4 separate regions of the Mus musculus genome follow, and regions 1, 2 and 4 are each reported to be linked to region 3. Evidence: microRNA targets listed by miRTarBase, many of them from high-throughput screens and not tested one by one. Region 3 holds a microRNA gene; each other region holds the end of a gene's coding sequence.
What was found. The annotated mature microRNA mmu-miR-1187 reads UAUGUGUGUGUGUAUGUGUGUAA and lies in region 3 at 1,289-1,311, shown strand. An mRNA with a match to its seed (bases 2 to 7 or 8) in the 3' UTR can be bound and repressed. Matches are read on the target gene's strand: a 7mer-m8 pairs with bases 2 to 8, a 7mer-A1 pairs with bases 2 to 7 and ends in A, and an 8mer does both.

Region 1: miRTarBase lists Txlnb as a target of mmu-miR-1187. Seed matches in the 3' UTR shown: 7mer-A1 at 1,105-1,111 and 7mer-A1 at 1,127-1,133.
Region 2: the mRNA of Rab9b is a reported target of mmu-miR-1187. Seed matches in the 3' UTR shown: 8mer at 666-673, 7mer-m8 at 682-688, 7mer-A1 at 759-765, 8mer at 802-809, 7mer-m8 at 838-844 and 7mer-m8 at 2,342-2,348.
Region 4: miRTarBase lists Ptprr as a target of mmu-miR-1187. Seed matches in the 3' UTR shown: 7mer-A1 at 1,311-1,317.

The regions. Positions count from the first base shown.
Region 1 is chr10:17,842,783-17,845,963 of GRCm38, forward strand. It overlaps Txlnb (taxilin beta), which reads left to right. Exons shown (of 10, transcript NM_138628.3): 10 at 1-2,881. The coding sequence ends at 698. Among named protein-coding and RNA genes, the nearest start is that of Gm20655, 8.8 kb to the left of the region's middle.
Region 2 is chrX:136,858,440-136,861,623 of GRCm38, reverse strand. It overlaps Rab9b (RAB9B, member RAS oncogene family), which reads left to right. Exons shown (of 3, transcript NM_176971.3): 3 at 1-3,184. The coding sequence ends at 580. Among named protein-coding and RNA genes, the nearest start is that of Rab9b, 8.5 kb to the left of the region's middle.
Region 3 is chr5:82,797,091-82,800,274 of GRCm38, reverse strand. Mir1187 (microRNA 1187) reads left to right here and starts at 1,210; the gene lies at 1,210-1,331.
Region 4 is chr10:116,273,184-116,276,367 of GRCm38, forward strand. It overlaps Ptprr (protein tyrosine phosphatase, receptor type, R), which reads left to right. Exons shown (of 14, transcript NM_011217.2): 14 at 550-1,746. The coding sequence ends at 643. It also overlaps a transcript of Ptprb not described here. Among named protein-coding and RNA genes, the nearest start is that of Ptprb, 27 kb to the right of the region's middle.

The DNA of each region.
Region 1 (3,181 bases), not on the chromosome of region 3:
GAAAGGAACTCTACAAGAAAATCAGAGAAGCAAAAATGTCCGAAAAGGAAGACCAGGTTCAGCGCACCTCTGAGGAAGAGCCAGAGCCAAGCGTCTCTGAAAATGAAGAGGTGGACGCAGAGGAAGCCAACAGTTTTCAAAAAGCTGTGGAAAACCTGGCCACAGCTTTTACCATCCTTCATCATCCAGAGTTCACCCCAGACCAACCAACGGAAAGACAGCTGGCAGTGAATGGTCCTCAAAGTGGAAGTGATGTCACCCACCAGCACCCCGAAACAGCCCGTTTAAACCATCCCAGCCTTCCCGCTGATTCAGGGAGTCCTCGGCCCCCTGTAGGTGCTCAGGCTGTGGCGGAGGGCGTCTGTGAGGCCACACCTGCCCCTACAGCCTCCTGTACCCCTGCAGAGGCAGAGCTACAAAGTCAGGGTCTCCCTGCAGAAAATACCCCGGGTCCGAAGCCCCATAAACCAGAGGCAAACACTTCTGGTCAGGCCCCACTGTCCCCAGCCCAGGGCTCCCTATCTGTAGTAGAGGCAAAATATGATATTTCACCATCTCCAGAGAGTGAGGGAGATTCTGCTGTGGTGCCCGGCTGTGAGTCTAGGGAGCAGCCCCCACCAGAAGTCACAGACATCCCCGTAGGCCCTTCCACTGGACTCCCCAGAGAGCCCGATGCTTGTCTGAATGGAGTAGACTAAGCCTTGTTGATTCTTCTGGCTGCTCACCTGACTGCATCTTCCTCACAGAAGAAAGTCTGTGAAAGAAACTTCTAGGACTAGGAAGAGTTAGAGTCAAGACATTTTTAAAGTTGTACAGAACACTTCCAGTCTTTGCTGCTGTTTGCAATTTATAACTAATATGGAAATTCTCTGTGATTTGGCAGCCAAACACATCAATAGCAAATATACATTACTTTCCCATTACATTGGTGCCTTAATCCAGTTTGTTAGCAGTAAGATTTTGTATTTAAGGACTCCCACTATAACAAATAAATACACTGAAATATTACATTTATTTCCACAAATAACCCAATAAGATCTATAATGGATATCCAGGTTCCATTTAAATAGCATAATATACAGTGTACTTATGTGTATACACAATACACATAAATACATTTATGTATACACATACACATGTATTTTCATACGTGCATATAAAGTCATCACACAAGTATATTTTGCTCCTAACAGATTTTTCTCTATTGCAAGATATGCTTGTAAAAATTTTTCTATCTTACTTACACTCTGGACTACAGTAGATTAAAGCTCTATGGATCAGAAATAGCACATGTGCTACAATGCCTGGACACAAAGAGGACCACAAGAGGCTTTTAACAGAAAGGGGAAAAAACACAAACAGGTGCTTCTGATCTTCTCAGCCAACTTCCTCCCAACTTCCCAGCATCACCTCCTGGGTTGAGGCAGCCGCCTCCTGGCTACCTGTGAGAAGGTGGTTGGAAATAGAGAAAGCACCTAAGTAAGATTTGAGAGGTTGAGTATCCTCAGCTTAGAGGTCTCAGCCTCTTTGACTACTGATATCTCAAGAAAACACTTTTTGTTGTCTCTGACATTGTCTTTATCTCAAAGCATCTATTCCTTCCAAATTTCCTCCTTTGCGTCAATGTGTGTGCCTGGCCCACATCTCAATTAATGTTAAGTAAAATGTATTTTTCCAAAACGGAAATACATACGAGCTCTCAATAGGAGTAACAAGGCTTACAAAGCTAACACATTTTCTGCTCTAAGAATTTTTGAACAGGCAGAAGTACAAAATTTTTAAAAGGGGGGGGGGGCCTCCTACTCATAATTCAAAAATAACAGGCAAGGACTCCATAGATGTCAAAAGCAAGAAGCACTTGGGATTACCCAAACAAGTTTTATACTCTCATTGTTCGCAAAAACCTCTAATAACACTGGCAGCATAAAATGCTCTGCCTAGGCTCAAAGAAAACTGTACTAACAGAACAGGGAGAGGTGGGAAGGAGGGAGACAGAAGGTGCATAAAGAGAGGACGGTCTAATCTAACTCTATGTTAAGAAGTTGAACACAGGTAGAAATGTGGATAAAGGAGGATTCTTGAAAACTCATCCAGGAAATCACTCTTCAGTGGTGCACGTGGCTGCTTGCCAATGCACACGAGGAGCTGGGAGGCAGTAGCCATATGTTGAAGGAATTATAAAACTGTATAAAATTTATTTGAAGTAGACAGTAAGGGAAAGAACAAAAATACCATTTGGGGAAAAAATCAGGGGAAAAAGCATGCCATTATTTGAGAACCCATGTGTTTTCAGAGGCTTTGCATATTATAACCACACGGGTATCCAGCCAAGTTCAACACCACTGGAAATTAGACATTCAATTAACTCAAAGCCAAATATTCACTACACTAATCCCTTCTCTCTGTTTACAGGAGCTGAGCTTCAAAGAACAGAGTAGGATCATCACAGTTAGGTCTCAATCCAAGAGCTTAGGAAGACAAACAGGCAGGAGGCACTGACATCCAATAAATTAAGTGTTCTCATATCCAAAGTTTATTATTTTCATCCAAGAGGGTTTCACAGCAACATATCACTCACAACTGTGTGTACCTTTGGCACAGTTTCACAGACTACACCTTCCCTGAAATCTGTAAAGCTTTAATATAGACTTTGGGAGAATTATTTTAATAGTAAAAGAATGTTTTATTATAGTTCCTTGTGTTCAAACTTGGCTGTACTAATCATAACAACTCATAAGATCTGAAAGCAGAAAATATATCTCTTTTTATGAAGTTCATATAACTATTTTTAGAGATGCCAAGTCTTTCTAGAAACACTGGAATTATTGCTTTCTAAATGTAATAACATAATGTTTATACCAATTAAAAAGGCATTTCTTCCAAGTTTTCTAGTAGGTTTTTTAAATTATTTTTTATTGGATATTTTCTTTATTTACATTTCAAATGTTATCCCCTTTCCTGGTTTCCCTCTCTCCCAGAAACAATCTATCACATCCTCTCTCCCACTGCTTCTATGAGGGTGTTCCTCCATCCACCCACCCACTCCACCTCCCTGCTCTCATTTCCCCTATACTGGGGCATCTATTGAGCCTTCATAAGACCAAGGACCTCTCCTCCCATTGATTCATGACAAGGCCAACCTCTGCTACATATGCAGCTGGAACCATGTGGACTCCTTTGT
Region 2 (3,184 bases), not on the chromosome of region 3:
GGTCATCCTCTTGGGTGATGGAGGAGTTGGGAAAAGCTCACTTATGAACCGTTATGTAACCAACAAGTTCGACTCCCAGGCTTTTCACACGATAGGGGTAGAGTTCTTAAATCGAGATCTGGAGGTAGATGGACGCTTTGTGACCCTCCAGATCTGGGACACTGCGGGGCAGGAACGTTTCAAGAGCCTTAGAACACCATTCTACAGGGGAGCCGACTGCTGCCTGCTAACCTTCAGTGTGGATGACCGGCAGAGCTTTGAGAACCTTGGTAACTGGCAAAAAGAGTTCATCTACTATGCAGATGTAAAGGACCCAGATCATTTCCCCTTTGTGGTTCTGGGTAACAAGGTAGACAAAGAGGATAGGCAAGTAACGACTGAGGAGGCACAAGCCTGGTGCATGGAGAATGGAAATTACCCTTATCTAGAAACAAGTGCCAAAGATGATACTAATGTGACAGTGGCCTTTGAAGAAGCTGTTAGGCAGGTGTTAGCTGTAGAGGAACAGCTGGAACATTGTATGTTAGGTCACACCATTGATTTGAACAGTGGCTCCAAAGCAAGTTCTTCTTGTTGTTAGAGGTAGGGACTCTTGACAAGTGTGCAATAAGTTGGTCAGTCTGTTGTGTAAAAACGACTGTGCTCTTTGGTAGTATGAACACACACACACATACACACACACACACATGCACACACACACACACACGTACATGAAAGCATGCTCACACAGGCAATTGCATACACACAGGTACACACAGACACATACATGAAAGTACGTGCACGCACGTGATTGCATACACACACACATACACACACACACACACACACACACACACACACACATGAAAGTAAAAGATAATGTTCTGTTTTTGAAACAGAACCTTTCAAATTGAAGTTGTAAAGCGGTTTTTTAAAAAGCTTTATTGAGCCAAGTGTATTTTGCGTAATTCCTGCTATTTTCCCTTCTTGTGTGGCTCAGGACATATCAGAAAGTTTTAGTCCTGAGAGATTTAAGTATTTTTAATCACAGTTTAAACCTAGAACCCAGCCGCATGAAGGAGTGAAAGAGCTTAAAGTGTTCCATTAACCAGCTAGCAAAGGCCACCAACTCTTGCCAAGTAGTTTATGTCATTTCTACCAAAGGGAAAATTAGGATTCTGAGCTGTGTTACAGAAAATAATGGAAGCAAGAATTTCTAAACATGTATTAGAAAAAGGTGGTGGTGATTAAGAATATAGATGTATAAAAACACACTGACATGTTCAAATCCTTACGTATGGTTTACTCTCTTATGAACTTAAGAAAAATCATTTCTATAAGAATTACTCTAATGACACTGGAGGTTGGTTCTAATCCATGTGAGTCACAGGACACTAGTGAATGGATTACGCTTAAATATGCCAACCACATTTGCAAATACATGGTTGGCCTGCTTTTCCTTCATTAAGTCTACTGCTGCTGCATAGAGATGTTGCTTCCTTGACAACTTATCAATTTAGTGATGCTGCTTAGTATGTGGCTTCGGGTGCAGTGCTCTCTGCCTACATTTTACACAGTCCTATAATTCACCATGCTGGCTCATGCAGAAGGCCTCAGAAAGGATTGGAGAGTAATGGGCTTTTCTCACAGGTTCCTTAACTCAGTTGTTTGTTAGATCTCAGATCTCAGATCTCAGAAGGATCTGATTCTTAGAATGTCCCACCAGATGTTCAGCTGGCCAAACTAGGACATTAAAACTGGCAAAAGAGCAGGTTTTTTTTTTTTTAAACTTTGTGTTAGGATGAATTTCTCGTAATTAAATTTGTTCAAATGTGGAATAGATTGCCTTAATTGTGAACTCCCTCCCAATAAAAGTAGTCACTGGCTGACTATTTGTTAAAAAGAATTACTGAACTGGCTACATGTTTGGTATAAGGTTTCTTCATGCTTTCGTTCTGAATATAAACTATGTCAGTGCCATGTCCTGGTTGGACTTACATGAAAGTAAAGGTTAAGACCATAGAGAGGGCCTTCAAAAATCCTCAAGCCATTCTGGGATTAGCCTTTAACAGCAACTATTATTTAAAAATATATCCCAAAGGTACAATGTTCATACCAAAAATGGTTTGACAATTTTTGAATACCATGACTGCCAATTGTATATACTATATTCTGAGTGTGTCATCTGTTTCTTTTTTTTTTTAAATTGGTTGATCTGCATGGATTTTAATCTGTGCTTTAAAACATGTATGAACCAATGTAAAGAGGGACAGTTAATTAGTTAAGGCCCTCCAAAGAGATTTAGGCCTGGGATTGGGTGGGAGCATTCACAGGAATACAGCCTAGAATTCTCCATTGTAGCCACACATGGAATCAGCCTTACATGTGGGACCTTACGTGCTTTAAGAACTCTGGTACTTTTGGCCACATAGACAAAAGTAGGACAGTATTTATTTCAACTCAGACTTACTCAATATTTCTAATTATTGTATAGTCCTGACCCTATTGTCCAATTAATTTAGATGCCAGAAGTCAAAGCCAGAACTGGGACCCCACAACTCTTAAATATTGGTTCCTATCTTGCCTATGCCTATAGCCAGCCACACTGGTTTCAATGTTCTACAGTCATTTTGCTACAATCATGTTAGGGTGAAAATCTGTACGTCAGAACTAATAAATGGTAATTATTTTTTAAGTGCATGAGACCTGGGGCCTTCTCTTTCTACTTGCACTCTGCTTATAATAGTTTCTATCTGTAGATCTCAGGCCTTCATAAAGATCTCCATCAGCTCACACAAAGTATTTGTCTCTGTAGAGTGGCATGTGGTCATGTGAGTAAAAATAAAAGTATGTGAGGATTCAGTTCATAGACATGCTGTCCATTGAGACAAGTGTTCATTTTATTAGCAGGCATATCGAAGCCCCTTTCTTCTTAGCCATACTTTTTTTTCTACCAAATTACTTCACAATATCAAGCACTTAACAATATGTGACAAAACAGTGGCATTTTAGTGAGTAACACTCAGTGGGTGTTGACATAGTTTGGGTAAGATTTAAAAACACCAAAAGCTGCTATCCTTGGTACCAAGAACTGTGCATATGTGTTCAGAAATAGACTGTATATCTAGAATGTGCAATGAAATATTTTCAATAGGTGTTTTTAATGAACACTAGATGTTTGGGATCAATGTATTTCTAATTAGAA
Region 3 (3,184 bases):
TAGTCTTAAGTTTCTCAGTTAATATCCACTTAACAGTGAGTGCATATCATGTGTGTCCTTTTGAGATTGGGTTACTTCACTCAGGATGATATCCTCCAGATATATACATTAGCCTAAGAATTTCATAAATTCTTTGTTTTTAATTGCTGAGTAGTACTCTATTGTGTAAATGTACCACATTTTCTGTATCCATTCCTTTGTTGAGGGATATCTGGGTTCTTTCCAGCTTCTGGCTATTATAAATAAGGCTGCTATGAACATAGTGTACCATGTGTCCTTATTACAAGTTGGAACATCTTCTGGGTATATGCCCAGGAAAGGTATTGCTGGATCTTCTGGTAGTACTATGTCCAATTTTCTGAGGAACCACCAGACTGATTTCCAGAGTGGTTGTACCAGCTTGCAATCACACAAACAATGGAGGAGTGTTCCTCTTTCTCAACATTCTCACCATCTGCTGTCACCTGAATTTTTGATCTTAGCCATTCTGACTGATATGAGGTAACATCTCAGGGATGTTTTGATTTGCATTCCCCTGATGTTTAAGAATGCTGAACATTTTTTCAGGTGCTTCTCAGCCATTTGGTATTCCTTAGTTGAGAATTCTTTGGTTTAGCTCTGTACCCCATTTTTAATAGGGTTATTTGATATTCTGGAGCCCTTTTTCTTCAGTTCTTTATATATATTGGATATTAGCCCCCTATCTGACTTAGGATTGGTAAAGATCCTTTCGCAATCTGTTGGTGGCCTTTTTGTCTTATTGGCAGTGTCTTTTGCCTTACAGAAGCTTTACAATTTTATGAGGTCCCATTTGTTGATTCTCGATCTTACAGCACAAGCCATTGCTGTTCTGTTCAGGAACTTTCCCCCTGTGCCCATATCTTTGAAGTTTATCCCCACTTTCTCCTCTATGTGTTTCAGTGTTAGGTGGAGTTCCTTGATCCACTTACACTTGAGGTTTGTACAAGGAGATAAGAATGGATCAATTCGCATTCTTTTACATGCTACCTGCCAGTTATGCCAGCACCATTTGTTGAAAATGCTGTCTTTTTTCCACTGGATGGTTTTAGTGCTCTTGTGAAGTTCAAGTGACCATAGGTGTGTGGGTCCATTTCTAGGTCTTCATTTCTCTCTCTGTCTCTCTCTGTCTCTCTCTGCCTCTTTCTTTCTTTCTTTCTTTCTTTTTTTTTCTTTTGTGTGTAGTATCTGTCATATAGTATTAAACCGAACTGTTTTCCTTATAGACACAATTTATTTTTACACACACACACACACACATATATATATATATGTGTGTGTGTATGTGTGTAAATAACAATGTTAAAATAGTAATGAGCCATGCTTAAGATCTGAGCATATGTAGCCTTCCACTGTGATACTTTTCATTTCCTGATATTTTCTGGTGATCTCACAAAGAAGAGTGTAAGATTATTTACCAAGAGAACATCCGAACTCCCTTAACTATTCTGGGCTACTTTTTACTTTTATTTTGCAAGCTCTAATTGTACTTAATTCCTGGCAATCACCCTATGATTTCACTTAAATCTCTATTAGCAAAACTTTGAGATATCCTTCAGTTGTCAGTATGGTAGCATAAGGCTCTTACAAAAAAATTAAGCTGATTCCCGAGAAGTCAACATTCAGACATTGGTGCAATCTTTTTCCCTAATAATTATTTTTTCTAATCAAGCCTGTGTTTAAATTTATGTTACAGCATTTCCTCAACACAGATCAACACTTCTTGATAATGGTTTATTTTAAAGTTAATTTTTATGACCAAAATACTGGCTTCACTTTAGTTGAGGTACAAAAACATTAAGTTCACATTTTAGCATTTTTTTCTCAGATACTATAAAAGATTGATAAGGAATTAAAATATTTTCATCTCCCCATCAATACAAATGCTAAATTCACCACTGAGTTAAAACTTTATTTGCATAAGATCCCTGCTTAATATTAGACCTTAAATGATTAGGCTGTTGACCCCTTCCAGCTTTCCAACTTATTTTTTTCACTTCTTTTTTTTTAAGATTAATTTGTATATTTTATCTATGTGTGTATACTTCTGCTCTCTTCAGACACACCAGAAGAGATTCCATTACAGATGGTTTTGAGCCATCATGTGGTTGCTGGGAATTGAACTCAGGACCTCTAGAAAAGCAGTCAGTGTTCTTAACCAAGCATCCATCTCTCCTGCCCCCCTCCTTTTTGTTTTACTTCTATTCTTTTAAATATATCAATCATGAAAGACTGAAATGATACCTCTGCCAATGGGGAAGCAACACAGCCATCATCTCTGTTAGAATAAAAATCAAGAGGAGTATGAGCCTGACTATGAACCTGGCTTTTGTTCCAGGACAAAGCATGTTGCATAAGCAATTGTCTTGCTTTCTTTCAAGATTATTATTTGATTCTTACAGAGGTCTCTGAGAACTCAGACTGTACAGGAGTTAGGATAGTGCTGACTCCAACCTAAGAACCTTAACAGTGTTTATTCATAGCAGGGCTTTCAAAATCAGAGTCAACTCTCAAATATTCCTTCACTGAGCAATTAAACTTTAACATTTTCAGTCCTCGTGATGTTGACGATTTTCATCAGTGAATTCTGTCCTTAAAAATTTTGTTTTGCTCATTCATCACACATTTGTTGAAGTTTTCCATATGTCTATGTTAATGAAAAATTTATTCTAGCTAGCCCATATAAATGACACAGAAACGTGGTATTTTATTTATGCACTTCTCCTGGCCACTTGCTCATGGTCCAGCTCCATGGATCACAGCCTTCCCTCTCCATCTTCCTCTCTTTCTCACCCATAGTCTCTCTAGTGACCCCTCACTTAATTTCCACTCAAGCCATGCCTTCCTCTCTCTTCTGCCCATTCACAGCCTCTAACTTTTAATTAAACAATAGCTTTAAATTGAGGAGCAACATTTACACAACACAGGACCAGTGCACCCAAGAATTTATCTGTCTGGTTAGTGAACAGATCTTCATAATTTGGTGTTTGTATTCATAGCAATATACCAAACCCAACATGTGCTATATGGTAACTATTTACTATATGGTAAATATCCTGATATGTTTATATGAATTTATTTTAGGAAGTTTCTACTGTGGTAGATTTCCACATTACATCCTCAAATGGTCTTTAGTTTTATTTTTCCCTCCTGATATTTCCTCCTT
Region 4 (3,184 bases), not on the chromosome of region 3:
ACCTACCACACAACTAGATGACGTGCTATATGTACAGCATTTCCTGCTTCTCTCAAAGCCACCAGGAACCAATGGAAGCACAGGAGAAGATGGCACTGTCAAGAGGTGCAATAGCTATGAGATGCACGCAGTGGCTGCTAGCCTTACATGGCATACAGTTGTCCAGTCAACCCTTAACACTGAAATCAGAGTACATGCTAAGTCACACTAAGAAGCATAGTAAATACCAATGCTATCAACAAAGTTAGCATGATCCATTCCAAGGAAATGTACAGTAATTACAGCTGCCACCAGGTAGGCTCGTTCACACCAGCATCATCGTTATCGCTAACCTGTGCATAACGCACCATGATACAGCATTGGTGCACAGCATGGGACTGCACTAACATATTAACTTCGCCAGCCAGGATGGTAAAAAGGGTAGAAAAAAAATTCACTAGATCAGCTATTCTGCCTGTTTGGCATAAGACTCATTCTAGCGTCATGTTTCGGTTACAGTATTATAAGGTGTCAGCAAAACTGAGTGATTTTATAATCTCTTCCATGCAGGGGTGGTATGGTCCAAACCAGCGAGCAGTATGAATTTGTGCACCATGCTCTGTGCCTGTTCGAGAGCAGACTTTCACCAGAAACTGTCGAGTGACTCCGAAGATTTACCAGAGTGTCAATCTCTCACCGGGTGATTCATCAAATTACCTACCAAGAGCTCCAAGAGGGGCTCCCTGCAATGGACGAGGAGGCTCTAAAGCCAGCCTAAGGCACTGATTGTGGAAGATCTGGCAACATGAAAGATTGCCAGCCTTTGTGTATAGGACTGCGTTCGTAGGCATCCCCCCAGTTATTCTGAAGGTCCTGTGCTGATGGAGGCATGACAGTCCTCTCGCAGCCTGAGGAGGGTTTTGTTCTGTCTGTGTCGCCTCTCCGCCGCACAGAATCGATGTGTGTGATATTCAGAGACTGGAGGAGCTGCTGACATTATCCTGTGTTTAGATGCTTTAATGTTCATAAAGCCTGTCTTGTGACTGGACTGTCAGCTGTCCAACTGTCCCTGTTGTAAGTGCTATTAACTATCTCAGTTACCAGAATCTTGCTGCTCAAGTTTCGAGTGATCGACAATGGATTTTTAACCAAGACATTTTTGTTTTTGGAAAAAAAAAAAAAATCAAATGCAGTGACTATTTTATATGGACATGTGTCTTGATTATATCTATTAAGTGTGCATTTATAGTATCTCCTATGGATCAATTACAGAGCACAATGACTGTCGTTGGATATATATGTATATGTATATGTATATTATATGTATATGTACACATATATATTCTATTATTAGGCATACAAGTGGCTCCTGTTCCACAATACTAACTACTATATTTCTACATTGTGACTTGTTTTACTTTAAAAGGGGATAAACAAATTTATAGCAACTATAAAGTATCAATAATTTTAAATACTCATCTCTCTTTTACTAAGAAGGGATTTTTAAATATGGTGTCTACCTGGTATCTCTCTCCCAATAAGAAGCAGGTGCCTTTGGGGAATGCTCCAACCTGTTTCATCCCCAAAAGTTTTTCCGAGGACACTGTCATGCACGACCTCACATTTCTAAAAGACCTCCTTCCTCAAGAGACAAATGAAGGCAAAATAATCACACTCAGCAAACAGGAGATGTTCTGCTCAGATATGAATTTTCAATGCAGCAAAGCTGACTTTCTTTCGTACTCCCAATAAATGACTCTTAACAGTAAATACTGAGTGAAGCCTCTTCTTTACTTACTCCCGGTAAACTGAAGGAGGTAATAGGACGGATTTAATTTTAGTCTTTTCCTCAGGGCGGGAGATGACTCTCTCCAATTGCAATCTTGTAATCACTTGAGAGATAATGATCTCAGAGCTCCATCATTATGTGGTTTTCCTTATGGACGCCAGCATCTCATTATACAAACAGTACATGTTTATGTCTTTATATCACTTGTCACAGACCCCATAAATTACATGGCTTACGTAGATGGGGCAGAATCGTATCACCTGAAAAGAAGCCGTGATGCAGGAAGACTCAATTATCTACCATTACGATTCCCTTTCTCCATCTTGAGGTTAAGACATAAGCATGTGCCAGAGGGGTGGCAGGGGTGACTTTCTGGGGTTTGTTCTGGCTCCCGGAGGCTGGCTCTACATTTTAAAAAGAGATGGACATTATCCCTCCTTTCTAAGGAAACAGACAAAAGGACACTGGTGTAAAACTTCCCCCCCAAACAATTCAATTGGAGGAAGTGTGTCACTGACTTTCCCCCTCTCCGTGAAGCACGTTTCCTTCCTACTCTTTGCCTCTCTTATCTGGGAGAAATTTTTTTTTTCCCCAAAGCGAAGCATGAACCGTTGTTAAGTGGAAAATGGAGGCTGAGTTTTACATGACGATTCTAACCTGCTTGATCCTCGGGAGCTTGGGTGAGTGGGGCTACCTCAGTTCCCTGAGACATCTCTCTCAAAGTTTGCCAGGGAAGCTGGTAGCCTTTGGGAAGGTATCTGAAAGAAATCAGAATAGGAGCCGGGTCTCCATGGCTCGAGAGCCAAAGCTGATGAGAAGGGGGTTGGGGGGATAAAAGGAGACAGCTCTGGCCACACTTCTGAGATTTCTCTCTAGAAGAAAATAAATGTTTACAGAGTGCCTGGGACAGCTCAACTCCTGAAAGGATGGGTCTTGGAGCGAGGGACCCTGAGCAGACATCTTTTATTATTTTCACATAACAGTCTATATAAGCACTCTGTTCCTTGTTCTAATCAAGTTATAGCTTTACTTTCTTGCACTTTAAGAAAAATATATACGTAAGGAACGTGACTAAAGGGAAGAAGGAAATGTGTTTTATTTGGAAGTTGTCATTTGGAGGGATTGAATATTTCCAAGGGAATGCTAGGTTGCTTAGGTTAAAACTAATTGATGTCTGAGCCTGAATATTTTACTTTTTACTGTGAATGTTTAAAAACTGGGCATTTGGTCTTTAAGGAGTACTGATATATATATATATATATATATATATATATATATTAATGTGTTAGTATTTGGTGGAAAACTGTAGACATTGTCACAAAATCGATGCTTCTCTGTAATAAGGAACTTAGCCTCTGGTAATCAGGAACTTAGCCTCTGGTAATCAATCAATACTTTCGTTGTTTGCCACCAGCC